Linked DNA regions of Mus musculus: regions 1, 3, 4, 5, 6 and 7 are each reported to be linked to region 2. The links are microRNA targets in miRTarBase. Many come from high-throughput screens and were not tested one by one. Region 2 holds a microRNA gene; each other region holds the end of a gene's coding sequence.

What was found. Region 2 holds the annotated microRNA mmu-miR-124-3p (UAAGGCACGCGGUGAAUGCC, at 2,888-2,907, shown strand). A microRNA usually pairs through its seed, bases 2 to 8, with sites in the 3' UTR of a target mRNA and lowers its output. Matches are read on the target gene's strand: a 7mer-m8 pairs with bases 2 to 8, a 7mer-A1 pairs with bases 2 to 7 and ends in A, and an 8mer does both.
Region 1: miRTarBase lists Eci1 as a target of mmu-miR-124-3p. Seed matches in the 3' UTR shown: 7mer-m8 at 737-743.
Region 3: the mRNA of Cln8 is a reported target of mmu-miR-124-3p. Seed matches in the 3' UTR shown: 8mer at 3,021-3,028.
Region 4: the mRNA of Car3 is a reported target of mmu-miR-124-3p. Seed matches in the 3' UTR shown: 7mer-m8 at 664-670.
Region 5: miRTarBase lists Mkx as a target of mmu-miR-124-3p. Seed matches in the 3' UTR shown: 7mer-m8 at 2,944-2,950.
Region 6: the mRNA of Gstt3 is a reported target of mmu-miR-124-3p. Seed matches in the 3' UTR shown: 8mer at 3,060-3,067.
Region 7: the mRNA of Icam1 is a reported target of mmu-miR-124-3p. Seed matches in the 3' UTR shown: 7mer-A1 at 3,117-3,123.

The regions. Positions count from the first base shown.
Region 1 is chr17:24,438,520-24,442,572 of GRCm38, forward strand. Eci1 (enoyl-Coenzyme A delta isomerase 1) reads left to right here. Exons shown (of 7, transcript NM_010023.4): 7 at 430-797. The coding sequence ends at 596. It overlaps Dnase1l2 (deoxyribonuclease 1-like 2), which reads right to left. Exons shown (of 8, transcript NM_025718.3): 3 at 3,886-3,974; 4 at 3,714-3,797; 5 at 3,533-3,633; 6 at 3,339-3,451; 7 at 2,977-3,228; 8 at 2,249-2,590. The coding sequence ends at 2,537. Among named protein-coding and RNA genes, the nearest start is that of Dnase1l2, 2.6 kb to the right of the region's middle.
Region 2 is chr2:180,891,196-180,895,260 of GRCm38, forward strand. Mir124a-3 (microRNA 124a-3) reads left to right here and starts at 2,845; the gene lies at 2,845-2,912.
Region 3 is chr8:14,896,187-14,900,251 of GRCm38, reverse strand. It overlaps Cln8 (CLN8 transmembrane ER and ERGIC protein), which reads right to left. Exons shown (of 3, transcript NM_012000.3): 3 at 1-3,721. The coding sequence ends at 3,398. Among named protein-coding and RNA genes, the nearest start is that of Cln8, 9.7 kb to the right of the region's middle.
Region 4 is chr3:14,871,131-14,875,195 of GRCm38, forward strand. It overlaps Car3 (carbonic anhydrase 3), which reads left to right. Exons shown (of 7, transcript NM_007606.3): 7 at 412-1,251. The coding sequence ends at 531. Among named protein-coding and RNA genes, the nearest start is that of Gm41999, 9.1 kb to the left of the region's middle.
Region 5 is chr18:6,933,660-6,937,723 of GRCm38, forward strand. Mkx (mohawk homeobox) reads right to left here. Exons shown (of 7, transcript NM_177595.4): 6 at 3,509-3,542; 7 at 1,307-3,395. The coding sequence ends at 3,206. Among named protein-coding and RNA genes, the nearest start is that of Mkx, 69 kb to the right of the region's middle.
Region 6 is chr10:75,771,087-75,775,151 of GRCm38, forward strand. Gstt3 (glutathione S-transferase, theta 3) reads right to left here. Exons shown (of 5, transcript NM_133994.3): 5 at 3,036-3,924. The coding sequence ends at 3,727. It overlaps Ddt (D-dopachrome tautomerase), which reads right to left and starts at 2,288. Exons shown (of 3, transcript NM_010027.1): 1 at 2,130-2,288; 2 at 1,652-1,827; 3 at 147-420. The coding sequence starts at 2,237. The coding sequence ends at 348.
Region 7 is chr9:21,027,693-21,031,744 of GRCm38, reverse strand. Icam1 (intercellular adhesion molecule 1) reads right to left here. Exons shown (of 7, transcript NM_010493.3): 7 at 2,931-3,974. The coding sequence ends at 3,799. Icam4 (intercellular adhesion molecule 4, Landsteiner-Wiener blood group) reads right to left here and starts at 2,313. Exons shown (of 3, transcript NM_023892.3): 1 at 1,922-2,313; 2 at 1,503-1,808; 3 at 1,149-1,363. The coding sequence starts at 2,291. The coding sequence ends at 1,251.

The sequences.
Region 1 (4,053 bases), not on the chromosome of region 2:
AAGAGAAGTGCTACACATCCAAGACCATCCTGAGCCACAGAGACTGGCTCAGCAGCAACAATAAAAACTGTCTTGCACTGGGCAGTGGTGGCCACACACCTTTAATCCCAGCACTCAGGAGGCAGAGGCAGGTAGATTTCTGAGTTCGAGGCCAGCCTGGTCTACAGAGTGAGTTTCAGGACAGCCAGGACTCTACAGAGAAACCCTGTCTCGAGGGGCTGGGGTGGGGGACTCTAGATGGGATATTGCTATGTATTTCAGGCTGACCCTGGACTCCTTAGCCCACCTTAGCTGCCCTAATGCTTTCTCTGATTTTCCCAACTCTAGGAGAGTTTATATTTCAGTACTTGAGGACTCAAGTGTAGAGGAGCCGGGAACGGCCCCCCACACTGCACAGGTGAGTTTCATAAGTAACCCTGTTTTCTTCAGACCATTCTCGGCAGCTGACAAAGAACATGATGCGAAAGGCCACCGCAGACAACCTGATCAAGCAGCGAGAGGCTGACATCCAGAATTTCACCAGTTTCATCTCCAAAGACTCCATCCAGAAGTCCCTACACATGTACTTGGAAAAGCTCAAGCAAAAGAAGGGCTAACCTAGGTGGACTTCTGAGTTCGAGGCCAGCCTGGTCTACAGAGTGAGTTCCAGGACAGCCAGGGGTATACAGAGAAACCCTGTTTTGAAAAAAAATAATAAAAAAATAAAAATAAGGGCTAACCTACAGCTGCCACATATGTGCCTTCTAGGGACCCACTGGTCCCAAAGATTATATATAAACAAGGTATTCTTCAACTTCAAAACTCTCTTAGCTCTTGTGTTCCTAACCTTAAAATGTCCTGTTTCAGGAATGGAGAAATAGGTCAGTGATTAAGAACACTAGCTGCTGTTGTAGAGGATGCAGGTTCAAATCCCAGCACCCACGTGGTAACTGCAGTTCCAAGGTATCCGATGCCCCCTCTGGCCTCCAAAAGCACTTCATATGAAGCATGTGGTGCATACACACATACATGCAAATATACATACATGTGTATGTACATATACAGTGAGTGTGTGTGTGTGTGTGTGTGTGTTCTAACAGTCCCACTAGCTGGGTGGGGTAGGTCTGTCATTACAGTGCTTCCCATGCTATGGTGAGAACTTGAAACAAAGCAGGACAAGGTGGATGCGCTTGACCCCAGTGCCGGGGGTGGGGGTGGGGGTGGGGGCAGGAACAGGCGGATCTCTGAGGCTCTGGCCGGCCAGCCAGCAAGTGCCAGTGAGACACCTCCTCTCGAAACAAGGTAGAAACTTGCTGGGCCTCTGGCTTATCCAAGTGTACGTGTGCATACAGAGGCTGTCCCTCGAAGCATGGGGCCCTATGGCTGCAACTGCAAGTGCCTTTCTGCCTCAGCCCAGTGCTGCTTATTCAGTGGTAAGGTCCTGAATCTTAGATTAGATTTTATGCAATCCAGATAGGCTTGCACTAAATCCTTGATTCAGTTCCCAGAAATGCCAACACAAACGACAAAACTTTTCTAATCCACCGCAAGGTTTTTTTCCCATGTAATTCATGCCTTTTCTCCAATCTCACTAAAGAGGTTTTATTGACCTTGGGCCTCCATAGTAGCACGTATGCATGTGTGCGTGCATGTGCATGTACACGTGCACACACACACACGACAAGTTTTAACAACTAGAAGCCTTATGAGAGCCTTGTGTCTACAGAGCTATTTCCTGCTCCTAAAGTGATGGCCCACCTGAGCATAAAATCTCCATCCTGCCGAGGCCTCGCCCAGCCCAAAGTTTTAAAGCTACTCCATGAGGCACCTTTGAACAGCTTGGCCTAAGCAGAGTGCAGGCTGGGTAGGACTCCGTGCCCAGCAGTTGCCTTTGCTGTAGGTTCCTTTTCAGAAGGTGGCAGAAGAGCTCACTAACGGGGTAGGTGTAGCCGCCATCGCTGCCGGCAGTGCTACGTGAGGCCTTAGGATCCCTGGGGCAGAATGATCAGGGCCTGCTCTCAAATCCAGCAGGGTCCAGAAAGACATTACCATCTGAGCTGCCACTGGGTGACTGGGTGATGATTCATACGAGCATTTCAAGTTCGCACAAAGGCAATAAGGATAGGGAGCTGGCATGGTGTGGAGGAGCCAGCATCCTCCAGGCTGGGAAGTGAACAACAACAATGGAAATAGACCTACTGGACAGTAAGACCAGGCTCTGCAGCCTCGGTACAGAGGTCTCAGAAAGCAGAGGCCCCATCCAACCTGTGGGTAGTCCTGGCCAAGAGCGGCTTGTTTATTAAGCATGCAGCTATGTGCCTGGCGCTGCTCGGTTCTCCTCACAGCAGCCCGATGAGGTAGGTGATGTTAGTTCACCTTGCAGATGAGGAAATGGGAGCTTTAAGGAGTCCTGTAAATGTGTTCACAGCCATTGTCCACACCAGCTGGTCCGACCCTGTGTCCTCAGTGGGTGGGTGGCCTGCCACCTGAATGATTCACTGTGGTGCCAGTCCTTGTGGTAATAGTCTGCAGGTGGCATATCCTGAGGCCTTGGCTCTCAGTGAGTCTTGAAAGTCACTTCCACAGGAAAATGGTCACTGATGGCAAGAGCCTGGAAGGAGAGGGGTTGGGGGAGTCTCAGCGGTTCAGCAGGGCAGCGTTTTCTCTAGCTGCCCCCTCCCCCCAAACATACACACACATACACACACACACACACACACACACACACCACCACCACCACCACCACCACCACCACCACCACCAAGAAGGCAGTGAAGGCTTGGTAGCCATTCTTGGGCCTCATACTGCCTCCATGTGGCAGAGAACAGAAGTGTGCCAACAGTCCCTTCCTGGGGGCTTGGCACTCTAAGGACCCTTGGCGATAATTGCTTTTGCTAGAGCAAGCATCAGTGTAAACTCCCAGCAGGTGAGCATTTCTGTGAGCCCTCTCCTGAGGGGGCTGACTAGTATGTCTGCTGGAGCCCTGTCCACACTCACCTGGGTCTGATCTAGGTCAAATTCCTCCTGAAAGTTGTGAACTGAGGCTGAGTGGGGCTTCAGGCTCCTGCGCAGATGGGCGCCACTCACTACAATCCGGTCATAGGCACAGTCTGAGTTGCCCACTGTGGTGTCCGCACTGTCTGGGATGAGCCATTTAAACACCTCACTGCTTCGAAGGCGGATCGATGGCCAGTCATGCGCCTTCACGTACTTGCAATCGGCATTAAAGTCACCCAGAAACAGCATGTCCTGTAGGCAAGCACAGCCAGTACATCTTAGCAGTGCTCAGTAGTCCAGACCTCTGAGAACACTTGTGGTCTGGGACGTGAGTTGGGGGCGGGGGGGGGGGTGTTGCCTACATCAGTGTTCCACTTGTCAATGACATCAAGGTACACATCGTAGAGCGCGTCGATCTCTGCCACCGCCTGGTGTGGTGCTGCATGGAGGGGGATCAGCACCAGCTCCTTGGTGGCTGTGGAAGGTGGGGGGATATGAGGGTCAAGGGAAGCCTGGAAGAGGTAGGCTTGTCTGGGAGAGGGCAGTATCAACTCACCACAGCTAGGAACTGAGAATTTGACCACAAAAGGCTCCCGGCTGAAAGCGTCCTCTGGGTCTGGATACTGGTACGTGCTCACCACTGACGCTACATCTTTCCTGGGAGCAGCAGAGAACAAGATGTCTGGAGCTGCTTACCTCTGCCCCAATGTGTCCCCTCCCCGCAACCCGCCTCTCACCTGTAAACAAACAGGTACATTTCCTTGTACTGGTCACGTCCGAGTGGCTTGCTGCTCACAAAGCCGTACTCGTGCTTGGACACTCTGCGGAGAGAGACGCCAGTCCCTGGGTCAAGGCACCGAACCAAGCTTGTGATCTTGGCTGGGGTTGTGGGGCCCAGCCCTGCCACACCTGTTAATTTGCTCCATGAGCAAGGACACTGCACTTAGGTCTGGGTCTCGTACCTCTTGCACCAGGGCGATATCATAGCCGGCCAGGATCTGGAGGAAAACCCACAGATGCACCGTCCCAATCAGCCTAATTGCCCAGAGCCTAGCTCCTGGTTCCCATCTGCTCCCC
Region 2 (4,065 bases):
AGCTCCACCCCCACACCCAGGACAACCCTTCCCCCAGCCCTTCAGGGCCGGGCGGCAGGACGCAGGGAATTGGAAATAGAGAAACCGGGTGCTCCGGACTGAGTGCATAGGAGTACCAGGAGGAAACGCGCAGGCACGTTTCGGCGGAGATGCAAAAAATTAAACTTGGTTTGACCCATGGAAGGGGTGCTCTCCCAGACTCCCTATGTACCATGCTCTGGCTTGCTGTAAATATCTCTCACGAATAGTAAGGGGAGGCCGAAGGGAGGTCCTTGGCCTGGGAAGGGAACTGGTCTTTGAGGAGTCGCTGTACGGAGCCGGCCCCGTAGCAAGCGCGCTCCTAAATCCGAGGCTCTTTGGGAGTGCCTCCTCCACCCCCGCGCACCCTCCGAATAGAAACGAGATCTGGGCAGGCTAGAAGCGGAGATGTGTTAGACCACTGCAAAAGCCGAGGGTGGGGCTGAGGGATGGTAAAGGGTCTGCTGTCCTGGGAGCGCCTTTTCTGGGCGAGGATCCAGGCTCCGCGGATGGGAAGCGATTCGGGCAGGCTTTGCTGTCTACACCATGGACAGCAGACCGTGAAGGTTTGGTGTCATGGACGGTGCTGGGGACCTGACCCAGTACCCTCTAGGGAGAGGGACCACTGGCCAGGCAAAGAGGAGCTGGTTCCAACAGGGAGTAGCCTCTGCTCGGAGTCTAGATCCTCCACTCTTGAGCCACCAGCCAGTGTCCCTCGGGCTGCAGGTGCTGGCAGGCCGTGGGTGGTTTCCTTGACTTTGGGTTGGGCATAAGCAAAGGTGGGCTTAGCTGTCTGTGTAAGAGGGGATTCTCTAGCGTCGGTTGAGACTGGCACCTGCAAAGGGAAGGATTTGGGGTTGGGAGAGAAGTATCCTGACCCTCTGAGGACCTTCGGGCAGTGGGATGAGATCTCCGGAGATTACCTCCTTCCCAGCTGAGTGTCTTCGGGGGTTCCCACGGGGCTGGAGAAGGTTGGAAAGGGAGGGGGAAGAATTTATGCCTGGGTCATTTAGCTTCTGTTAGAGGGCAGGTGGTCAAGGGCTGGGTTGGCCCAGGGAGAAAGGATAGGACAGAGGCCTGCCTACTTCTGTGTGGTTCTTCCAGTCTGCAGGAACAAAGGCCCGCTGGGAAGGCCTAGAGTGGCGTGGGTTTTTTTTTTTTTTTTTTTTTGTTTTTTATTTTTGGAAAGCCGCTGATCTCTAGCCCTAAAGACCCAGATCAAGGTAGTCACCCTTCAATAGACTGCAAAGAGTAGATTCAATTGCAGTCAACTGTGAAGTATGGACTGTGTTTCTCCCATCCTCGTAAGCAAGGACTCGCTACCCAGCTAGAAAAAGGGTGAAAAAGGGGAGCAGTCTCTGATGGGGGTTGGGGGAGATGTCTAACTCCCTTCTCCACATAGGGCCGCCAGCAGGAGGCTAGGACCCCTTTCTTTCCCCCCCCCAGGAGAGAGAGGCTCAGAAGCCACTGTGTAGAGTGGTTATTCCGGAAGGACCAGCCGCTTGTGTGAGGCAAGCACAGTGTGTTCGCTGCACAGCGGGGTGTGGCTGGTGGTGGGTGTAGAGGAGCTGCGGTCGGTGGGCTGCGGGAGAAGCTTTTGCGTGGGTCGTGCAGTAGGACAGAATGAGCGGTTCGAGAGTGTCCAAGAGGCAGTTTCTCTGCATACGTGTGACCCCGGGGCGCCGGGCACAATCGAAGGCGTTCGAGGGCTGCATCCGTGTGAGTCGAGGAGCGCGCGGAGCGGGACGCCGAGCGTGTGCGCGGGAGGCACGGGTCGCGCGGTGCGTGAGTGCGCGTGTACGCGGTGCGCGTGCCCCTCAGTTCTCAAGGACACCTCCGAGAGGAGGCGGCAGAGCCGGTGTCGGGTGACGTCACCGCGCGCCCCAGTGATAATCGCCCGGTGCCGGAGCCGAGCGCGGATACGAGCGGAGGCAGCGGCGGCGGCGGCGAGCGCGGGGACGGTCGCACCCGGTCTAGGCAAGGAGAGTGGGAGTCAGACTCCCGCAGTGCCGACCTCGCGGACGCCGGGCTCCCACCCGGCCCTCAGGAATTTGCCCGGCTTCCTTGGCACTGTCCCTGCGCTCTCCTCCACCCGGGGCCGTAGCGTGCGGGTCCTGCGGGCGCCAAGAAGGAGGCGGAGGCGGGATCGGGCGACAGCGCAGGCTGTGCTGCGGAGCGGAGGCGGCAACCGAGAAGCAGCAGGCGGCGGCGGCTCGCGCCCGGACGGGTAACTGCGCTGGCGGCCCGTGCCGGGGCGAGCCGGTCTCTCAGGTCACCCCGTCTTTCTCTCCTCGAGCAGCTTCTCGCCAGCCAGAGGCGTAAGAGAAGAGAGCTCGGCGGGTTGTAGAAAGAGACTGCTTTTCATCTCCGAACATCGAGGTTCTTTATTTTCACCGCACTCACGCACTCCTGGTGGGGCCGGGAAGAGGAGCCGGGGAAGGGCAGCTGCGGAGAGGCTTGCGCCGCCGGGGTGGAGAGGGCTCTGCACCCGTCAGAAGACTGCAGCAGGCCGGAGCACGCGCGCTCACCCCGGCCGGCTCCTGCATCTCCCTCGCCGCGGCTCCGAGGGGTCCCTACTGCAGGAACGCCCCGAGGGATTTGCCCGGGCCCTTCTCTACCTCGGGGAGGGGAAGGAAAACTGGCTCCTCGGAGTTGGGGGCGGACCAGGGCAGCACTGCCAGCTTAGCGCGGAGCCCCGCCCCGCCCGCCCGCCCCGCGGCGAAGAAGCTGGAGCATTCGCGCCCCTCAGGCTAGGACCCCACGCAAGCCGCAGCCCGGCCCCGACCCGGTCCAGCCGCTCGCCGCCCGCCGCAGCCCTGAGGGCCCCTCTGCGTGTTCACAGCGGACCTTGATTTAATGTCTATACAATTAAGGCACGCGGTGAATGCCAAGAGAGGCGCCTCCGCCGCTCCTTTCTCATGGAAATGGCCCGGGAGCCCGGCCGTCGCGGCGCCCCTCCCGCGGGAAAAAGGCGAGCCCCGGCCCCCGGTGGCCCCTCGCTCCGCGGACAAATCCGGCGAACAATGCGCCCGCCCAGAGGGCGGCCCAGCTGCTGGGCCGGGGATCTGGCCGCGGGACACAAAGGGGCCCGCATGCCTAGGACGTCACGAGAAGGGTGGGGGCGACCGCGGGGGAGAATGTGGCCACCCGGCCCCTGACCACGTGTGTCCGCAGCTCTGAGTGCTCGAGATCCCGAAGAGGGAGACGAGGGCCAGAAGACAAAGGGAGGGGCTGGGGAAGCGGCGGGCTGAGGGGCGCGGGAGGGAAGTGTGCAGCTTCCCGGGTTGTGTTGGCGCGTCCCGCTACCCACGGGCAGTCCTGGGCGCTGTCCTCGGTGCTGGCCGTGGAGTCACCCAGAGAGACGGGGCGCTAATGCGCTTGGGGCGAAGGGATGTCATGAGTATCACTGTTCCCATCTAGGGGGCCCTGGATAGTTGCCGCAGCAACCCCAGAGAAATGGGGTAGGGTCTGGGGTCACTGCAGTCTGTCCCCTGGGCGCTCTAGTTGGGGTCGCAGGGTGAAGGCGGTGATCACTTTGATTCTGAAGAAACCCCTGAACCTTAGGTTGAGGTTCGAGCTGTGGAAGTGGGGGATCTGCATCTGCATCCAAGGTCTAAATCTGGGTGGATACACTGGACCGCATCCCGCCCCCAAACCTCTCTCCAGCTATGCGGGACGCGAGGCACGTGAGGCTCTGCAGCCCAGAGAGAAAATGACAAATCCTCCTCCTCCCTCCCCCACCACCATCTGCAGCCGCAGTGACACCCACTCAGGTCTGCTGCAGGCATTTTTTTTCCTGTCCTCGGCAGCCAGCGCCACCTGCTGGCGTCCTGGTATGAGACTCTGCTCTGGCATGTCTCCTCCCAGCAAGGTTTCCGATCCCCAAGGTTACAGGCCCTATTACCTAGGGCAATGGTTCTCAACCTTCAGAATGCTGCTACCCTTTAATAGAGTTCTTCATGTTGTGGTGACCCCTCCCCCCAACCATAAAATTATTTTCGTTGCTACTTCGTATTTTGTTGCTACTTCATAACTGCAATTTTGTTA
Region 3 (4,065 bases), not on the chromosome of region 2:
CTGACACGGGGTGTGGCAACACTCTTTTTTGTACTAGCATTTGAATGTGCCCCACTAAGGTTATGTGGACGCATTACATCCATGGTTGGGGATAGGCAAGGGCCTCCTCCCAGCCACTAGCTTCCACAATCAGAGACAGCCCCAGCCAAAGAAAACACTTAAGTCACCATGTGTCCAGACAGTGATCCTTATAAAGGCCTCCAGGAAACTCACTTGGGCTTCCTGAATCTTTTCAGCCCTTCTGCTCCTTAGATATATGGCATAGCTTTCTCCTGGAGGTAAAGAAACATTCCACGTAGGAAGTACTGGGCCTCTTCCTGACTGAAGCTGCCAGCACCTGACTTTGGACCTCCACCCTACAAAACTAGAAATGGCTAGTCTCTGCTCTTTCTCTAGGACCCAGGCTCAGGTGTCGCCCCTACGGCACACAGGAATGAGGCAATGCTTAGTTCCCATCAGGAGGGTCACCACAGGCTGTGTGAACAGAGACTTAAGGGCTCAGGTAGGGGTATGGCCTCTTGCTAGCAATGTTGCCGTGGAAGCCACAGGGCCTACTGAGGAGCTGTCTGTGGAAGGAGAGCCTTGTGACCCATAGGCTTCACAGAAGACAACAGCACACAGCCAGTCACTAGCTCTGCTGCACCAAGTCCAGTGCTACTTTGAGGAGCCTATGGTATGCTGCTGAGAGAAGTTGGAACCTCGTTGCTAAATTGAAGGGGCAAGGGCAAGCCATCGGGAAAAGGGCAAGCCATCGGGAAGAGATGGGGAAGACGCTGGGCTGCTGCCCCTGACCATCACATCCTCTACTGTTGAAAACATGGGAACATGTAAAACATCTACGTGGCGAGAAAGGGAGAACGTTTTTGATTTTCCATACCGGTCAAGTAGGAGAGCGTCTCTTCTCCAGTGGCTGAAGACAGAAGCCAGGAAGGCTTCCTACATGCTAAGTAAGTTCTCTACTACCAAGCGATACCCCATTCTAATTCCTAACAGCTGATGTAGGAGTCTAGTGGGGCACACGTGCAGTGGAATCTTGGCCAGTGTGGGCCACAGAGCAGGCCAGCCTAGGCTCACATTAGTGAGCTGCGGCTCCTCGTGTCCTCTGGACCATGCCCCTCTCCGAGATCTGTCTGGCAGGACACTGGAGACCACAAAGGTACTATAGCTGGGAAGGGTGGCCCCTCTCTAGGCCAGTGTTCTCAACCTGTGGGTCATGACCTCTTTGGTGGTCGATCGACCCTTTCACAAGAGGTTGGGACACGCAGATATTTAATTATGATAATAGCAAAATTACGGTTATGAAGTAGCAACGAAAATAACTTCATGGTTGGGGATCACCACAGCATGAGCAACTGTATTAAAAAAATCATGGCGAGAGAGCCACTACTCTAGGCAGGGACTAGTGCTTGCTCCATTGCAGAGCCTTCTCATGAATACTTGTCTCCAAGGTTCCGGGGAGAAGTCCTGGTCAGAAAGGAGATGTGTGTGGAGTGACCAAAGGTCACCTGAGCTATGGAATGGCACTCAGCTGACACACGTGAAGACGGAGGATGTAACCTGAGGTCACACTCCTTGTAGAGGCCAGCGAAAGTCAGATGATCTCCCTGTCCCAGCCGCTTCTGTGTGTTAGCTTGACACAAGCTGTTGTTACCACAGAGAAAGGAGCCTCCCTTGAGGAAACGCCTCCATGAGATCCAGCTGTGGGGCATTTTCTCAATCAGTGATCAAGGGGGGAGGGCCCATTGTGGGTGGTGCCAACCTTGGGCTGGTAGTCTTGGCTTCTTTAAGAGAGCAGGCTGAGAAAGCCAGGGCAAGCCAGTAAGTCACATCAACCCATGGCCTCTGCATCAGCTCCTGCTTCCTGACCTGCTTGAGTTCTAGTCCTGACTTCCTTTAGTGATGAACAGCCATGTGGAAAAGTGTAAGCTGAATAAACCCTTTCCTCCCCAACTTGCTTCTTGGTCATGATGTTTTGGGCAGGAATAGAAATGCCCGACTAAGACACTCTCTAACCCCATCCTGGTCCCATTGAAGACTTGCCAACATGTTCAGGACGCAGAGTGTTCTCAGGCACTCAGGTGAGCTTCGGGTCACGTTATCAGACAGGAAGTATGTTTGGGTTTTGGAAAGAGCTGTCACTATATTAAGCCTCTGCCCAGCTTAAAAAAAAACAAAAAAAAAACAAAAATGCCAGGCTGGTGCCTCAACAAAGCAGACACAGGAGCTACAGGGTTTTCAGTTCAGTTGATTATCTTAGGAACACAAAGTAAGGGCTTTCTTAGATTGAAATAAATAGGCATCATACCTCCTCATAAAGTTAATGGGCTACTTTATAATAAAATAGGCATCATACATCCTCATAAAGTTAAAGGGCTGCTGAGGCAAGCCTAAGTCACACATGATTTTCAAGAGCAACCACCATTTCTCAGGTAGTTTTGACAAAACAAATCAACAAAAACCCAAACAAACAAACAAACAAACAAACAAAAACCCCCTTGTTCTTTAACTGTTCTCTGGGAAAGTTTTTGTGTCTGCCGATAGCATTGCTAGCCGGTGTCTGGAGGTCTAACCTGCAAACAGCGCGGCGAGAACATGTTCCCATGGTCATGTCAGGCAAGGTGCTTGCTCGGGGCCCTAGCGACTCAGGATGAGCGACACGAGGATGAGTACAGGACCCCCTCCAGACACCTTATTCTGTCAAATAAGAAATATATCACTAAAAATTCTCATTATTTTGTTTTTCAAAAAGGTTATTAGGTTCCTTGGGGTTTTTTGTTGTTTGCTTGTTTGTTTTTGAAGTACAAGATTTCACACCACCACCACCACTCCAGGAGGGGTGGGCAGACTCTAGTAAGCCAAGGAGAACCCCTTACCATAACTCTGTCCTTCTGCCTCTTGCCACTAGAGGGCAGTGCACTGCCACGGGCTTAAAATTCCCCAGGCTAGTAAATAAATATGATCAGCAAATCACATTTTCTTAGGGTCAATTTGTTGCAATGAAAAAGAACACGACTTCCAAATAAGGCACACCCACACCCACACGAGGTCCTTCCCGATGAATCGTCGCAGGGCTCCAGACTGGCTTCCTCAGCAGCCTGCACACCTGGCTGCCATTGCTCCTTCCCTAGCACTGCCTTGGCAGATGTGCTGTGGTTGGGGCCACGCCAGAAGACTCAGAGGAAAGTCATGATGGCAAAGACCTCTTCCAGGCACGTCGAGGCCCCAGCAATACTTCATGGGTACTTTAGAATTCATAGTAAGGAACAAGTTAGTATTCACCTAGATATAAACTTATCTATGTCCCCATCCATACGTAAAGAGTCACTGTGGAGCTTTGTCCAACCCTGGACACTCCCCAGTCGGCATCATGGTCCACCCAGTCCCTGGGTGGGCGCCGCTACAACCTCTTTTTCCGAGGCACCTGGCCATTGGTCCTTTCTTGCCTGCTGCCCTTGGCTTCCTCCTGTGCAAAGTTCCAATCCACGGGATGGAGGAGCTGCTGGGTCTTCTTGTGTGTCCAGTAAGGGTTAATGACGGCCGTGAGCAGGGCCAGCCCGAAAAGGAACAGTGCCCAGTGGGGCAGGTGCAGGCTGCTGGTGAGGGCGTCCCAGTGACAGAAGCACACCCACCACATGTGGTAGGTGAGGATCATTCGACAGTGAAACATGTGGATCATTAGCCACTGGTTGGCCTTCCAGAACAGGGAGTCTGACCACCCAGCCTGTGGACAAAGCAAACCCGAGTGTCAGTATGGGAAAGGGGAAAAGACATCTGTGCCCTTCACGCGCCGCAGACGCAGAACAAAGCACTAGGCTTCTCGCCAGTACTGGCTCTCCTGGGCTCAATTCTGAAGGAAGGATAAAGCCAGAGCCAGCACCTTACCTGGCTGGCCTTCCTACTTTAAAGGCAAAACTCCAATCTTTTCTATCTTGAATTAGCACATATCAGAAAGCCAACAGGTCCTGCTTATCTAGTAGTAGCTTGAGCACACACACCCTGGAGCAATTTGGATGGGCTGCGTGACCTGGTTCTTGTTAGCGCTTTCAGAGGGCCTTGGATGCAGGT
Region 4 (4,065 bases), not on the chromosome of region 2:
TGAACCACCTCAACTACCAAGACATGATATTTTTTATGAGAATTCCTCATTTTCTGATCCCTTAAGAAAAAGAATAGTACACAGTTTAACATATACCCCGTTTTAAATTTCTTTCTAGTCCTTTAAAATGTAATTCCATAAACACTTGACTTGATTACACTGTGGGAGCCTTTTGAAGTTTTTCTTACGTTCAGGCATATGATACATCCCCATCCCCTCTATGTATATAAAGTTCATGCTGAACCCTGGTGTGGAAGGTGTAATTCTGAGAGCAGGGAATTCTGGATGTAAGAAACGGTCTATGTTATGAGCTGGGGCTTACAAACTCAGGACCTATCCCTGGAGCCTGGCTGTGGTTTGTCTGGCCAGTTAGAAAGCCTGTGGTTTCTAACAGTCTGCTTCCTCTTGCAGATGGCCAAGCTGCGCAGCCTCTTCTCCAGCGCAGAGAATGAGCCCCCGGTGCCTCTGGTGGGGAATTGGCGCCCTCCTCAGCCTGTCAAGGGCAGGGTGGTGAGGGCCTCCTTCAAGTAAGGCTCTGAGCTTGCCCTCTTCGGGCAAGAAACTCTGCCCCTGAAGAGCCTGCTTGTCTCCTCCTGGTGCTCCCTACTCCAAGCTGTCCGACAACACCTAGAGGAAGAGGAGAAGCAGTCACATGCAACCGCAGTGCCTTTTGACATGATCTCACCCAGAAGCATGAATTTCACACCTAACATTCTTAATAACCACCTGTTCTAAAAAAAAATAATAATAATTAGTATTTCTAGTATGAATTCAGTGAGGAAGAAATAGATGGAAAAATAGCGATAGAGAACAGTGGCTCACTGAGCATATTAGACTCAGAATCTCAGCACTCCTACTTTCAGGCTGAGTTACAAATACTACAGAAGTGATGGGCCCATGCTATGTATCCGGGTATGGAGGAGTATGCGGACCTTACCACACTTAAGTGAAAACACACGTTAACATCATTGTAGATCTCAAAAACTGAATTCATAATGTGTTTTACTTCAAATAATACCAGCGATAATCCATCACTCGTTAAAAATTTGCCTACTACCAAGTTTGCCTGGTTTTAGTCACCTATAAAACACACCCATGAAGCCAGGTGTTTTAAAATGTTTGATCCAGCATTTAAATTTCTTCTTCATAAAGATGGTTTTCTTTGCCCAAAGTAGAGCCATTTATTTTTTATTTCACTACTTTAATCTTTGCATGCCTATTAAAAACAAAAACAAACAAACAAAAAAAAAACAAAAACAGCAACAACAAAAAAAACTGTGTCAGGTGTCTTTTGAGTTGGAGGCTGGGATGTCTGGTTCCTGGAACAGGAAGGAGGGAATGTCAACACTGAAGCCAAGAGCTTGCATTGATCACAGAAACAATAAAAGACAGATGGCAAATGAAAAGAATGTGTGTCTTTTCCTTAAACTGAAAATTCAGGGTAAGTCACTTGTTTTAAGGTAACATATGAAGTGACAAGCTTCACTATGGCAGTGTCATTCGTGTTAGTGATTATGCTTAGTTATAACTCAGCCCTCCATCACTGCCCTCTCCAGGTGACAGCTTCCCACAAAGTCCCCTCCTCTGCTTTAATAGGAATTCCATTGGCCTTCTTCTTTAAGATCTCTTTCTCCCCTTCATGATCCCTTTTCTAGTTTCACGACTACACACATATGTCTACACACATATAATTTTAATTCTGATTTATATGAATGAAAGGAGATATTCAGTATTTATCTTTCTGAGGGCAAGGCAATCGGTAAGGGAGTCAGACCAAGCTGCCAACCTGGGCAGTGGGTGTTGGCCCATCTCATCATGTGAGTGCTCCCAAAGCATTAAGTCAAAGTTGACGAGGACTCTGGGATCCAGGCCAGTGCTATGAGCTAGTGCTCTTTTTAGTCATAACAGAACCTTTTATATCATCTTTTTAAAAAATGTACAAAAAAGTACCACAAAATGACATGTCCCGACAGTGCAGGAAGACATATATCGACTTTTGATACATTTAATGTTTCTAAACACAAAGTCCAGTTGCACAGCCAAAAGGTGGTTATCTTTCAGCTCTGAGTGGCTGATGTGTTAGTGACTGTAGAAAAGGGTAGCAATAGGCAGTGAGAACAGTCCTGGGTCCGGGAGCCCCGAGGCACTGGAAGTCAGACCATGTGATAAAGTCCTGTGAGGCTGGAGTTATTTAATAGATTACCACTTGGGTGAGGCAAAACCAGGTTGGTCAGTGTGAAGAGGATGTGTTAATTAAATCCCTTGAAATTAGGAGGTGTGGAGCTCTGATCATTAGTGGTAATACACAAGCTGCTTGTCTCAGGGCATTTAGCTTGTAATGTTCAGAGCTCTGTAAAGACTGTATCCATTATTTAAGCTATGTCTGGGAGGCACGTGGTCTCACACTGATTAAAAATGGTTACTATTCTAGTGCCTGGCTGGACAAAGCTAGAGGAGGCTGTCTCCCTGGACCTTGTGGCTGTGCTCCACGAGGGCATAGGCTCTATTTCCACCATGGGCATGGCACCATCGGCACCTAATACTGTGTCCAGAAGAATTGAACCACTTGCTAAGGTTTAGGTGAACAGATGATATCATGAAAAAGGTTCACTGCCACAATAAACGTCTTTTGGAGTATTGAAAGCTGATACGTGCTTCTGCATTCAAGGGCCACCATTTTCCAGATTGAGTACAGGCCTCCAAACAATTGCACCTCAGGCAGTAGAGCTTGTAGAGCAGTTTGCCATGAGCTGCCATCTAAAATGGCTCTGGAACCCGTCAGCCTTATTCTTCTGGGTATAATTGCAGGTATCTTAGCATTTCAAAGTGGGGAGAAGCCAATGGTCAGATAATGGTGTGCTTGAAAGCCTGCAGGGAGGATGGCAGCAGGTGGTAGGCTGAGGGGTGCAAATACTTTCTAGTTCCTACATTTATAAATTATTATAGAACTGGGGACTCCAATGTAAAACATTTCAAAATTCAAATAACTGACTCATTTCGTAGACAAGTGAGAACTATTCTACGTAGACAGTGTATGTGTAGACAGCTACAGTTCTCAGCATCTAACTGGGGCCATTTATGTCATTAAACAAATCTTATTGAGATGAACAAGTCCTAAATAGGTACATAAGATACAAGAATAACAACCAACACAAGCAAAATTAACCTAAAAAATTAGCTGCATAGTCCAATAACACATTAGCTGCATTTACTGAAAATTAGTTCTAGATATTCTTCAATTTAAGAATGAACTCTGGGCACGTATAGTATATAATTTAGCATAAAATATAAAATTATTAATAATAAACAAGAACTCTATATGCCAGATTTTGTTCACATTTAATGTATGAAAACTTAATGAATTTTAATAGATGAATCCCTGGGAGTGAGACTTAAATTGTAAGATCTAACCATGTTTACATGTTATTTTCATTTTGGGCACTAGATGGCGATAAAATCTCTGTTGCAAATTAATAGCTCTTAAAGCCACCCTATGTTACAATCACGTAGATGTCTAAGTTGCTAAGTTTTTCAAACTACTTTGAACTGACATCATGTTTCCTTTGCTTACAGGTTTAATATTTTCTATTAATAGTGACTGATCAAAAAGATGAAGGATTTTTACTTATTCATAAGAATCTTAACTGAAAAAGGGAGGTGAGGCTAACTGGGAAGCACTCACTGGACTGCGAGACTGATAAACACTGAGCATATAAGGTCCTATCCCGTATGTAGACAGATGGGAAAAATCACACAGCGTCTGCTGGACAGGAGCCTACGGGGGACTGTAGTCTGCGTGCCTGTGTGGAGGAAAACAGGATCTATAGGGAGAGTTAAAGAATTAAGTCAATACACTTAAAATATAACGAAGTGTCATTCTGACAAATTTCTCAGTAAGAGTTAACACTTATCCTTTTAAAATTAATTTTACTTCATGTTAGAAAATGTCTAATGGCTTATTACAATCCCAAGTTCCCGCTTTCATGTAGCTGTTTGCAGTGTTAGGGATCTAGACTTCATCTGTTCAGACGAGAGAAAGAGGTATGAGCATTCTCACTTAATTCT
Region 5 (4,064 bases), not on the chromosome of region 2:
TTTTGTCTCCAATCCCTATTCCACCTACACTTTTAGCTCCTATATACATATCACATGGAACAAATTACAGTATGTGATAGCATTTTTCATTTATTGATCATCTATTTTTCAGCCACTGTAGTAGGCATTTTACGTTTTTTACACTTATTTTACTCTGAGTGTGGAGATCGGAGGACAGCTGACTGGAGCTGATTCTTTGTACCACATGGGTTCTGGAGAGCAAAATTTGCTGTCAGGCTTCACAGCAAATGTTCTTTTCTACTGTTCCATCTTGCTGGCTCCTGCATTCTGTGTATCATCTACTGTTTCAATCCCTCAGAGTGCAATGTCTTGCTCATTCCTCATACTCTGTGTGCACAACACCTAAAGACTGAGTCTAAATCTCGCAGTTGTGTGTGGATAGGGTGCAGAGTCAGCACTGCAGTGCGGTTCTGCTGACTCCCAAGCTAAGCTCCTCCCCTGTACAGAACACAACGGTAATGGATAGGGGATCTATATGAACAAAGCTTAAAGATATGGAAGTATGGAAATGTCATGACAATACCCATGACTTGGTATGCTGATAAAAGTTTCTTTTTAAGGCAATTAGAATCCATGAATATGCAAATATGGAAGAGGAATGGTTATTGTATTATTTATGGAAAAAGAATTTAGTACAACCCAGTATTTGAACAGTCTGTGTTGTGTTCTTGTCCTTGGGTCTTAACAGGTGGGTTAGTGGCTTAAAGTGATAGAATTCAAATTTGGTCCAACTATAGCACTCCCAATCCATGAGCCACATGCGAGGCTGTTCCTGTCTCCTGCTCCCTCGCCCTGGCCAGCTTTCAAAGGCAAACAAATCCCATATGATCACTGAAGTCTAGAAATGAACTTTTATTTTAAATCTGTCAAGAACTCTTGACAGACTTTAATTTTATTAAAATACAACTGTAAAATAAGAGTGAGTCTCTTTCTCTTCAATATAAATTACATGTCAGCCGAGCTCTCAGCTGCTGGCTTGGCATTGCTCAAGGTGCTTTTAAGGGTCAGGGGGGCTCTGATTTCCAGATAAAACAACAGTAACACAGAAAAATAATAAAATGATTCTAATTGGAGACATTGCTCAGGATATGCTAATTACCTATTTTTCATGTGTGTATAGGCCAGACTCCAAGCTTTGGTATTTTAAAGAAATTATGTGGAGAGTATCCTGTCATTGGTTTGTGTTCATAATACAGAACAAATTAGCTGATTTCCCCCCCCAAAGGATAGAAAAATGTAAAACATGACAATTTCAAATAAAATACAACCCAAAGTTCACTTATCTAATCACAATATGTTAAAACAAGAACACTTTTATTAAAATATTTAATACCAGAATAACTTATAATAGTATGAGAAAGAGTGAAGTATTCGTTCTTGCTTCTCACTGCCTCATGCACATCTGGGCAGGCTTGTCTTGTAGTGATCCCCACTTGGCTGGCTGCACGAGAAGAACCCAATACTTCATCCATTCATACAGTCAGCACTGACACATCTCACCTAGGGCAACTGCAACTGCCAACAGCACTTGAGAAAACAAAGTAAAAATATACGTACAAAATATTTTCATATCAAATTATCTTCATTACACTAGATAACCCCCACCCCACTATGCTATGATACAGGAGAAAGTGTCCTACGAGGGCCATCAAGGCCGTCATGTCTGCTCAGCAACCAGATTAACTTTGGCATTAAAAGCATTTTGTAAAATAAAGAAAAAAACGTCAGCATGTGCTGTGAAACCAGATGTCATTCACACTTGCAAAAATGCTTTCCAGCCTAAAACAATTAGAAAATACATTACATAACCAGAAAAAAATTCCCCCGATAGCCTAGTCTTTTTTACTTTGCTGTTGAACGTTTGCTCTGTTTTATAGGCCATCTCCAGATTTCCTTTTCTACTGGGCATCTCCACATTCCTCTGGTTTGCAGTCTTCCCAGGCAGGGGAGGATGTTAATGCTTGATGGAAAAGACTTTTCTTTCTTGATAGCGATTGCTCTCACTCTGTGGTAGTGACATTTAGAAACAAGACTTTCTTTCTTTTAATGCAAGACTTCACTTAATTTCTATTTGAATGTCCTATCTGGCAAAAATCAGAGACTAAACAGTCTATGCTACATGAACATATTTTGCTACCCGTACATTTTAAATTTTTAAGAAATCAATTTTTCTGCATGTATATGTATATACACACACAGATTTTTTCTTCGTTGTCTTGTTCTCATTGCAATACAAATTGTCCATCTGAATTGGGATTTGAAATGAACCAAATAAAAAGCTTTTACTCACTCCACATGAAAGCGGCTTCCATCACACAGGAACCCTGAGCTCTAATGCAAACAAGATTATGATTTAAAACTAAACTTTAGGTTTAGCTTTACACAGGAAAAAATTTCAAAGATTTATATAATAAGACTCTTTTTAAAGCTTCAGGGAAAAAAAATCCCAATTAGTTGTAAAGGGCATTGGGATACTTTCCAGCAGTGCTTGGGAAAACAATCCTTGACTGCATTACAATATTAAAGTAGTTTGAAAGCATCTCTTCTTAAGTGTATGCATCATGTGGTCCTGCAGCACCTTTCATTTTGGATGCACTAACTGATATGCAAACAAAACCCACACATAAAATTCTCACCATCACACCGGAAGTTAAGGAAAAGAAAAAAAAAAAAGAAAGAGGAAAGAAAAAGAAAGAGAAAAAGAAAAAGAAAAGGAAAGAAAAAAGAAAGAAAAGATCACCTCATCTGGGCTGAACAGATTTCCAAGTTTGAACATGTGAATGAATGAAATTGTTTCATGGGCTTTCGGCGATTGGCTTCTGTCCTGGACCAGTGGGAATGATGCAGTCTAGCAAGTGTTGGCATTGATGGTTTGAGGCACAGCTCTTCACTGTGCCCACGTTGGGGCTTACCTCAGGGAGCAAGGCACTTACTGTAATGGTAATGCAGATACTTTATGCATAGTTTCAGTAACATAAAAATAAGTTAATATTTTTGATTAAAATGAGTTTTTATAACTTATATGTCTTTTTATAGAAGCAACTGATATATTTACGATAGTTGAACTCAGGAGTTTTAAGGGAGTCCTCTTCACCTCTGCTTTGGCTCTTAGGATGAGGATTTAGGTAAAAACAAACACAAACAAACAAACAACCCACTGACAGCTCAGCACTTCCTGGCCACTCTAGAAGCGCTGCACCAGTGGCAGCTTGACTGTCTTTACTTCTGCTATGTGGGAAGACTTCTGGATGATGCAACTGGTGGTCGTCCCCTGCACTTCATCTTTTCCTTGGGCAAGGTTTGTTAAGGCCATGGCTGCATTGATCTCCTTCCAGTATGTGTCATCTTTGCTTGGTCCCCTTCTGTTAGCAGCACTGCATGTGTGCAAGAAAGAAGAGGAAGGATCAGCGATCAGGCCCACTGTTGTGTGCCCTGGAGACAGTTTACCAGCAAAGCACCAGCGATAAATGAAACTCATTTTGCTCACCTGTCACCCTTAGTAGATCCGATGTCCGGGGTGTCTATAAAGAGAAGCACAAAGTCAGTCACTTGTCTCTTTCTTGGACTTTGTCTTTTAAGATTTTATCTCTCTCTCTCTCTTTCTCTCTCTCAGCTGTAAGTCAGCTGATGTGGGAGCCTGGAACCAAATGCAGGTCCTCTGAAAAAGCAGACACTGCTCTTGAGCACTGAGCCACTCCTCCAGTCCTGTTTAATCTTAGGAATTTCTTCATTATTGCCAAGAATAAAATTTTATCCAGAAACATGGCTGAAATTATTTTTCTTATAGCATCCCGTAAGTTATTAAGGTTACTAAGAAGCCAAGCCTTGGAAGGGCTGTACAGGGAGGCATAGTGACGATACTAGGTCAATGTTCTTGTTCATTCCTCACCTGTCAGCAACCATCAGCACACCACAACACCACACACAGTAGATGTATTGTTCCTCAACTCCAGAACAAAGACTTTCCTAGAAGCTCTTGGGGCTCCCCCAACCTTCATATTCTGCAATTTCCTGAGACTCCAGCCTGTGTGTGTATGTGTGCG
Region 6 (4,065 bases), not on the chromosome of region 2:
GCGCTCTTAACCGCTGAGCCATCTCCCATCACACGGCAGCCCCACAAACAGGCGACATCCCACTCCTTTGCCCTCATGAACAAATCCCAACTCTAGGGTTTCAAGGATGCCAGAGAGGGGGTTACAGAAGCAAAGAAGTCATGTTTGAATGATATTCTCTTCATTTATTTGCTCTCTTTCAATTATTCACGAGGCTGGGGAAGAGAAAAATGGACCACTGAAGTCGCAGACGTTTAGGCAAAAGAGGGATTTACCATCCTATCTACCAGGCCACGATTCTGCCGGGAGGGCCTCTCTGGAAGGGCTCTGGCCCGGTTCGAGCAAACACCCTGGGTTCTTTGTTTCCGTCACAGAAATGTCATGACAGTTCCTTTCTTTCCGATCTGCCAAGCCTCCAAGGGGAAGAAGCGGATAACGATCCTTTAGGAGGAAGAAGGAGAGATGTCAACTCCTGCATACACCCCTCATTTGTTAAGGTCCCTGCCAGACAGGCCAGCCCATATCAGCCTGCAGGATATTTTGCCAATCTGCCCACCCCAGCTAATGATCCTTGCACCAAAGACAAGTCAGAAGAAAGGTGATGGCTATACCGGTCCCAGTGCAGACTTAACGCAATGGCTTCAATACCTGTGCTCTGTGCTCAGGTGAGCATGTTAGGCTGCTTACGGGCTAACAAACAGTCCCCCTGCTTCTAACTAACTGCATGCTCCTAAAGGCGTGCCCAGGGTACCAGGCACTTAGTTTTGAACCAAAGCCCAGCTCTAAGTGAGGCGCAGGTTCAAATCTGATTCAAATCTGTGGGAATCAGCAATTGCTCAATCACAGGACTCAGAGGAAGTCCCTGGCGATCGTCTGGCACCAGGGTGGTTGTGCACAGGGCTGACACCCTCAGGTTTCCATCTGTAAAACTGGCCCAATACAGTTATCTATGTCAGGAAGCTACCAAATCTGCCCTGTGCTGTGTGCACGAGCATTACCGTTAAGAAGTATTGTCCCCTCAACTAAAGGACAGCATTTGAGCATCCAACAAAAGCAGCCATTACCAACTTTCCTGAGCCCACTAGGACTCCATTTTGGAAGGCTCTTTCAAACTTATCTCCGTAGTTCTTCACAGGCCCGCTCCAGCCTCAGGAATATGAGACTCTAACTCTGCCTCAGAATGTAAGGATGGGGAGGGGGGAGGGGAGGGTCACCTTGTGGGGGAGGTCTTTTTATCATCCAGCAACTCTCCCGGAGCCTTATCTAGTTCAAAGGTTATCTGCCTCAGGACACAACCAGATTCCCTCGGACCAGCCTGGAAAAGTTCTCCCTTAAAAAACCAGACCCCCTGGTTCAGTGACGGTGAGGAGGCCACTATCACAGTGGTTAAGAGGGTGCCTAAGTAGATTCTCAGTACACACAAGACTACACTGGGGCTTCCCAAACCATCCTTTCTCGGGGCTGTAGAGAGTCGAAGGAATTGAAATCTTGCTAACATTCTGATCACAGACCCACCATTCCAGTGCCTGAGGAGTCCACCTTCGTGGACAAGGACACTGAGTGCTTTCTGGAACCAGCAAATAGTGACACCCCCCCCCCCCCCAACCTCATACAGAGAGACTGAGTCCTGACTCCAGACGCACAAATACGTTCCCTCACTGGCCCTGCATACCGGTCCTGGTCCAGGGACAGCTCCTCGGTGAGGAACTTGAAGAAGCTGGCGCTGTGAGTGCGGTTCTGCTCCGCGGTGCCCACAACCCCGATGGAAGAGACCAGAAGGTGAGCACAAGGCTCTGTGGATTTGTTCATCAACAGGGTCATGCCAGGTCGTATCGTAACGCTCACGCGCTGCAAGGAACACAAAAGTTAAATCCTGAAGCTTGGGCAGGGCATGGCTGGTGTTCAGAAGGGGGCGCGCCAAATTCTTAACGTGGGGGTCCGAGGGCTCCGGGTCTGGGACACTGCCCAGGATCCTTGGGAGTCAGTCACGTCAGGGTCACGCCTGGGAAAGACAACCAGGAAGGGATCTAGGAAGGGAGGATAGGACACGGAAGGTCAGAGGTTACCAGGGGAGTGGGGTCCCTGGGGATGGGAACGGGTCATTGGGAGGTCCGACCCTAGCCCACAAGTTCTCGCCGACCCTCACTCACGTCTTCGGGTTTGTCCAGGATGGTGGCTGTGGCCGCACACAGCCGGTTCTCCAGCCCCGCGGGTATGCGGCTAGCCGGCAAGTTTGTTTCCAACTCAACGAATGGCATGTTAGCGGGAGAAGAGTGGGATCGCCAAACGGTAACTGCACCGGGTGAGCTGTGGGAGCCAGTAGAGGTTCCAGAAAAGGAGCGCGGGGAGGGGCGGGGAGGAGGCGGGGCCAGGGAGGCGGGGCCGGGGAGGGAGAGCACAGCTCTGTTTCTCATTGGCCAGGCAGACTCGGCCCTTCTAGATTGGCTATCAGAGATACGCCTCTTCCGCTGTCACGTGTGCCGGCTCCAAATTACTGGTCCCAGGTTCACTACCTTTGGCCCTCCCAGTCGGCAGGTGGCTCTGTTTTTCCCTCTGAGCGTCCCAGCTAGTTGCCCACAAGGCATACATTTCTATAGGAGACTTAAAGGCTTAAAGTTTCTTAAATGATTGTGATCATTTCAAACTCAGTACGGGAACCGCACTTCTTTTGAACAATCTTGAGACCAAATAGCACGTGAGGTGTGCTTAGGCAAGACCCTAGGACAAGGGCATCTCTCTCTGGTCCCTAAGATACCTGAGTTTGTAAACTCTTCTGTCAGGGATAAATCATTGTCCATTAGAGAGTGGTAGAACTACTTAAAACAAACCAATCTGGCCGGGTGGTTGTGGTGCAAGCCTTTAAAACCAGAACTCTGGAGGCAGAGGTAGGCAGATCTCTTGAGTTCTAGGCCAGCCTGGTCTACAGACTGAGTTCCAGGACAGCCAGAGCTACACAGAGAAACTGTCACACACACACAAACCGAAAAAAGCAATCTGTCCAATTACACATAGGAAAGTGTGCATACTAAAGGATCCAGAAGCAAAACCATTACTCTTCTGTTAACAATGTATTTATTAGGTAAGGCACATAAAAGACGTCTTATGGCACAAGATTAAGTAGCTTGACAGTTTGGAGCCGGAGACAGGTAGAAGGCAGCAGTCAGGGTTAGAATGCTTGGGACAAGAATTTGGAAAGTCAGGACATACCAAGCAACTTCCACTCCCACAAAGGAACCAGCCCTGCACCCCACCTATGGCAGGAAGCAAAGACGCAGAGGACAAAGGTCTTTCACTAGTCAATCCCCGTCTCTTGCATGTATTCAACTGAGAGATCATAGATCCTGCATGCCAAAACTGAGGAAGGGAGGCACCAGGGTTGAGGAGCACAGAGGGTCACGTGGTACCAGATATCAATTATATGTATATGTGTATATACATGTATATACAAATATGGCTTGGAGGATGGGGGAAGGTTCAATGGTTTGTAAAGTTTCAAAGAAAAGGAATATGGCCAGATACGTTTCTCCCAAGTATTTTCCTGGAGCTCTCTCCAGAAGTCAGATAAGAACTGATGTTACAGCACAAGCCAGGTGGGGACACAGAGGGAACACAGGTGATGCAGAGAGGAAATTGCGGACCAGAGACCCTATGTCCTAGTGACAGCCAAAGAGCCAGACAGCCTCATCTCTTCGCTTGCACGGCCCCGAGTTTCCCTTGACCGTCTGTCTCCCAGTTCGAGCTATTCCCTCAGTGTAACAAACACTGCACAGAGAGCTTCAGCTTCTCTTTCAAGGCAGGGTCCATCAAGGGAGGCATATCCTTGGCCTTCAGGACAACTTCATGGGCCTCCTGGAAGAGGCTCTCCCCCACTTCGGCTTCTACTCTCTGACGCCAGGCAGCCAGTTTGGGTCGGCTCTCAAAGATTTTGCAGCCAGCACTGACAGGCTGTGGGGAGAAGGAGTCAGGTAGAGGGGATAAGTTCCACAATCTACAGGCAGCATGCCTGCCAGTATTTCCCCCACTATGTTGTCCCTTCCCCCACCATGTGTGAAGTGCCTCTTGATACCCCTATAGAAAGGATTTATG
Region 7 (4,052 bases), not on the chromosome of region 2:
AAACACCCACCACCATAGGTATAGAGTCTGAGACAACGCGCTGGGTCTCCAAGCCACGCCCATCCTCGGTCCCTCCCACCAGCGCCTGTTTGAGCAAGGGTGGATGGAGAGGTTGCTTGTATTAGCTTGGGGAGTCAATAGTATGCAGGAAATGTGGTTCTAAGAGGAGAATGTGAGGATGCCTTCCTTAACTGAGGTTTCGTTTTGACCTCCAGCAGGCTAAGTATGGGAGCCACGCCCCTAAGACCTCCTCCGCGCACGCGGCGAAGGAAGAGGGGGATCAAGTGCCAGCAAGACTCGGACACGTGTGCGTGTGCGCAGCGTTCGCAGGCTTCTAAATTAGAGTCGACTCCGGCACCCGATCTTTATTTACCCAGAGTGCAGCGGGAATGTGTCTACAACGCTGTTGTGTGTCTAGTCTCTCAGCAGAGCTTCTGCGCCCTCCTCGCCAGGAGTGTGGCCGCCTCTACTGGGTAACTAGTGCGAGATTCTGCAATTCACGCTGGACCAAAAGATCAACTGGGGACACTTTGACCCCAGCTTTGACATCCCTCTCTACATACATACCAGACTCGGAGACAACAAGCACAACGCCAGGAAGCAAGTCTGTGACAGCTCACGTGGCCTGAACAATCATCTCTTAACTTGTTGCTATGCTAGATTTCCTATCTAGTTAGCCGCTTCCTCTACTACTTGAAGAAGGCCCCGCCTACTCGAGTGTTTCTACCTCCCCCCCCCCCCCCAATTAATGATAACCTTGGGGAATCAGGTCTAGCTCCACCCGCTGGCCTTCTCTAGTAACGCACAGGCTCCGTAGTGGAAAAGGAGGGAGGAGAAGGGAAACTTAGCCTCCAATCAGAGCTCCGGCCTGTATCAGCGGAGCCAATCAGAAAAAGCCATACCAAGAGTCAGCCCTGGAGGGGAGGTCAGTTTAGTCTTTCTGCCCCGCACAAATAAAGCTAACAAAACTCTACGCAGAGGAACTCGGGTTCTAGGACCCCATGCTGGCCTTGAAGGAGAAATTTCAAGGTGTTGTTTCCTCCAGTACTACCTCTAATCTACTAATCTTCAGCCCCTACGTAAGGAATTTGGAAAAAGTAAGGTACCTTAAAAAAGAAACCACTTTCTCCAAGAACCGTAAGGCAGAGACTGAGGAGGAAGACTTTATTGTTTCAATAAGAGTCTCTGAATTAATTACTCTGAAGTTCTTTTCCCCTCCCTCTTGTCAGGCATCGAAAACAGATCTATAACTAAGTCTGCACAGCCAGGTACTTGCGCACGTAGACAGCCCCCACAGCCAGGAGGATCCCCACCAGGGTTGCGATGGAGGTAGAGGCCAAGGCTATAGAGGCTGGGCTTAAAGCTGTGGGCAGGAGTGAAAATCAGGAACTAGGAGGTCTGAGGACCGCCAAGCGTGGAGCCCACGCCTGTTCTGCAGGCCCCCTTGGAGTGGCAACATCCCCTCTCCCGCACCCATTCCCTGGGATTACAGGATGCCTCACCGAGGACTGTCAACATAACAGGTGCCGAGCTGCTGCGCACCACTAGCCCGTCGAGATTGAGGCGCGCATGGCAGGTGAGTGGCTGCCAGAGGTCGTTGAGTCCGGCCCGCATCACGTAGGTCAAAGTGACATTAGCCAAATCTGAACCGGTGAAGCGCTCCAGGCTTTCATGATAAATCACTCGGCCACCTCTTCTCAGGCTCACCACCAAGAATCCCACTGGGAACACGTGTGTCACATAGCATCGCAGAGTGTACTTGTGGCCCACTAGGACCGGAGGCTCCAAGATCACGCTTCTGGGCCGTTCTAAGGCAAGAGAGATAAGGCCCACAGGCACCCCTTAAAGCAATTACCATCTATCCGCTTCCTCCACCCCTCTCCCCTCACCCCAGCCCGGCCTGAGCCCCGGTCTCCCTCACTGTAAGCAGTGATCCTGGCGGTGGCCTCTCGGGTTTCTCCTGCGCAAGTGACGACGCAGCGCACCTTGGAATTCCAGGCCCTCACATCCAGTAGCTGGTAAGATACCCAGCCGGATCCATTAACTATCTTTCCCTGCCGCAGTTGGGTGCGCAGGCTGGAATGCACCGGCAGGGGGCAGTTGTGGCTGCAGTTAAGCCACGCTGAGCCCCCGGGAGGCACGGCCTCTAGCTCTGGATTAAGACGCACCCAGAAAGGTGCTGAGGTCACGGAAGGCGCGGGAGGACTTTGCATCCACTCTTGCTGGGGGCTCCCACCCCTCGGATAGGCAGCCACCAGCAAAAGCGACGGGAGCAGAAGGGCAGACTCCATGGCACAAAGCCCGCGCTGAAGTGCGGGCGGAACGCCAGGGAGTTTAGGCTGGCCGCAGGAGATAAGAAGGCACCCTGGCCACGCCCCAGAATGGGCCTCGGCCGGCCCTGATGAAGATACCTGCCTCCCCTCCCATCAGACCCTACAATCAACCAAAAGCCATTGCACAGTTCTGGACCTGCTCTTTAGTTTTTACGTAAGCCCCAAGAAGTCTTTAAAAATTAAAAAATAAAATAACGCTTGGTGATGGCACATGCCTTTGATCCCAGCACTCCCAGGGAGGCAGATCTCTGTAAGTTCAAGGCCATCCTGATCTACACTGGGAAACCCTGTCTATCTAACGTAGATTTTACTAGACATGGCAGTGGCTTTGTCATTTAGTCCTAGCATTCAGGAGACAGGTTGGCCCATCTTTGTGAAGTCAAGGCCAGCCCATTCCACATAGCAGATTTCAGGACATCCATGGCCACAAAGAGAACCTGTCTCAAAAAAGAAAGGGGGTGGGGGTGGGGACCAACCTGATCCACAGACTCAGAGTTAGGGTTAGGTTACCAGACAACCCTGAGGCATTATGGGAGTCGGCAGTCCTTAGGGCTTTGCCTAACTGATGTGATGACTGTACACAAACTCACAAGACACTCAGGCCGACATAAAACTTTATTGATTCAAAGGAAAGGTTTCTGTGCTGGGAGGGGTGCTTACCCTCCCACAGCAGCTTGCACGACCCTTCTAAGGAGTTGGAACATTTCCTTCCAGGCTTTCTCTTTGAGGTGGAGCCGCCTGGGACCATGATTTCATGAGCATGAGGCTCGATTGTTCAGCTGCTAAGGCATGGTGGCTGACATTGGGAACAAAAGTAGGTGGGGAGGTGCTGGGACGCTCCAGGATGTGGAGGAGCAGAGAACCACTGCCAGTCCACATAGTGTTTATGTGACTGGTGAAAAAAGTCGACCCTTATGAGAAAAGCATCCTGACCAGTAGAGAAACCCTCGACCCATGTGATCTTTCCCCAGACTCTCACAGCATCTGCAGCAGGGTCCAGGCCATAACTTATACATTCACCTCCTCACTGATCTACTATATACAGGGTACTCAATAAATAGCTGGTAAAACTCTAAATTAATAAATACATCAAGAAGAGTTGGGGACAATGTCTCAGCTTTCCTGTGTCGGGGGGAAGTGTGGTCTTCTTGCTTGTGTCTACTGGATATCATGTCTTCCTTAGGCAGGAGCCCCTCAGCAGGGGCAATAGAGAATGAAGTCAGCGTTTCTTGGCTGAAGGTCCACCGGGCTGTAGGTGGGTCCGGGTCACACGTGTTCACAGTCTTGCTCCATCCACCGAGTCCTCTTAGCTCTGAGGCTACAAGTGTGCATCCCCCAGGCCACCATCCTGTTCTGTGACAGCCAGAGGAAGTGGCTGAGGGTAAATGCTGTCTACCATTCTGTTCAAAAGCAGCAGCAGCTGTTGCCCTGCAGGGGGTCCAGGCAGGAGTCTCATCCAGCAGGCTCAGGGAGGTGGGGCTTGTCCCTTGAGTTTTATGGCCTCCTCCTGAGCCTTCTGTAACTTGTATATCCTGATCTTTCTCTGGCGGTTATAAACATAAGAGGCTGCCATCACGAGGCCCACAATGACCAGCAGTACTGGCACCAGAATGATTATAGTCCAGTTATTTTGAGAGTGGTCTGTGTGGTAGAGACAGAAGGGAATGGTGAGACTTGAGGCCCTGGCACCTAGCCCACCCCTCATCCAGCCTTATATCC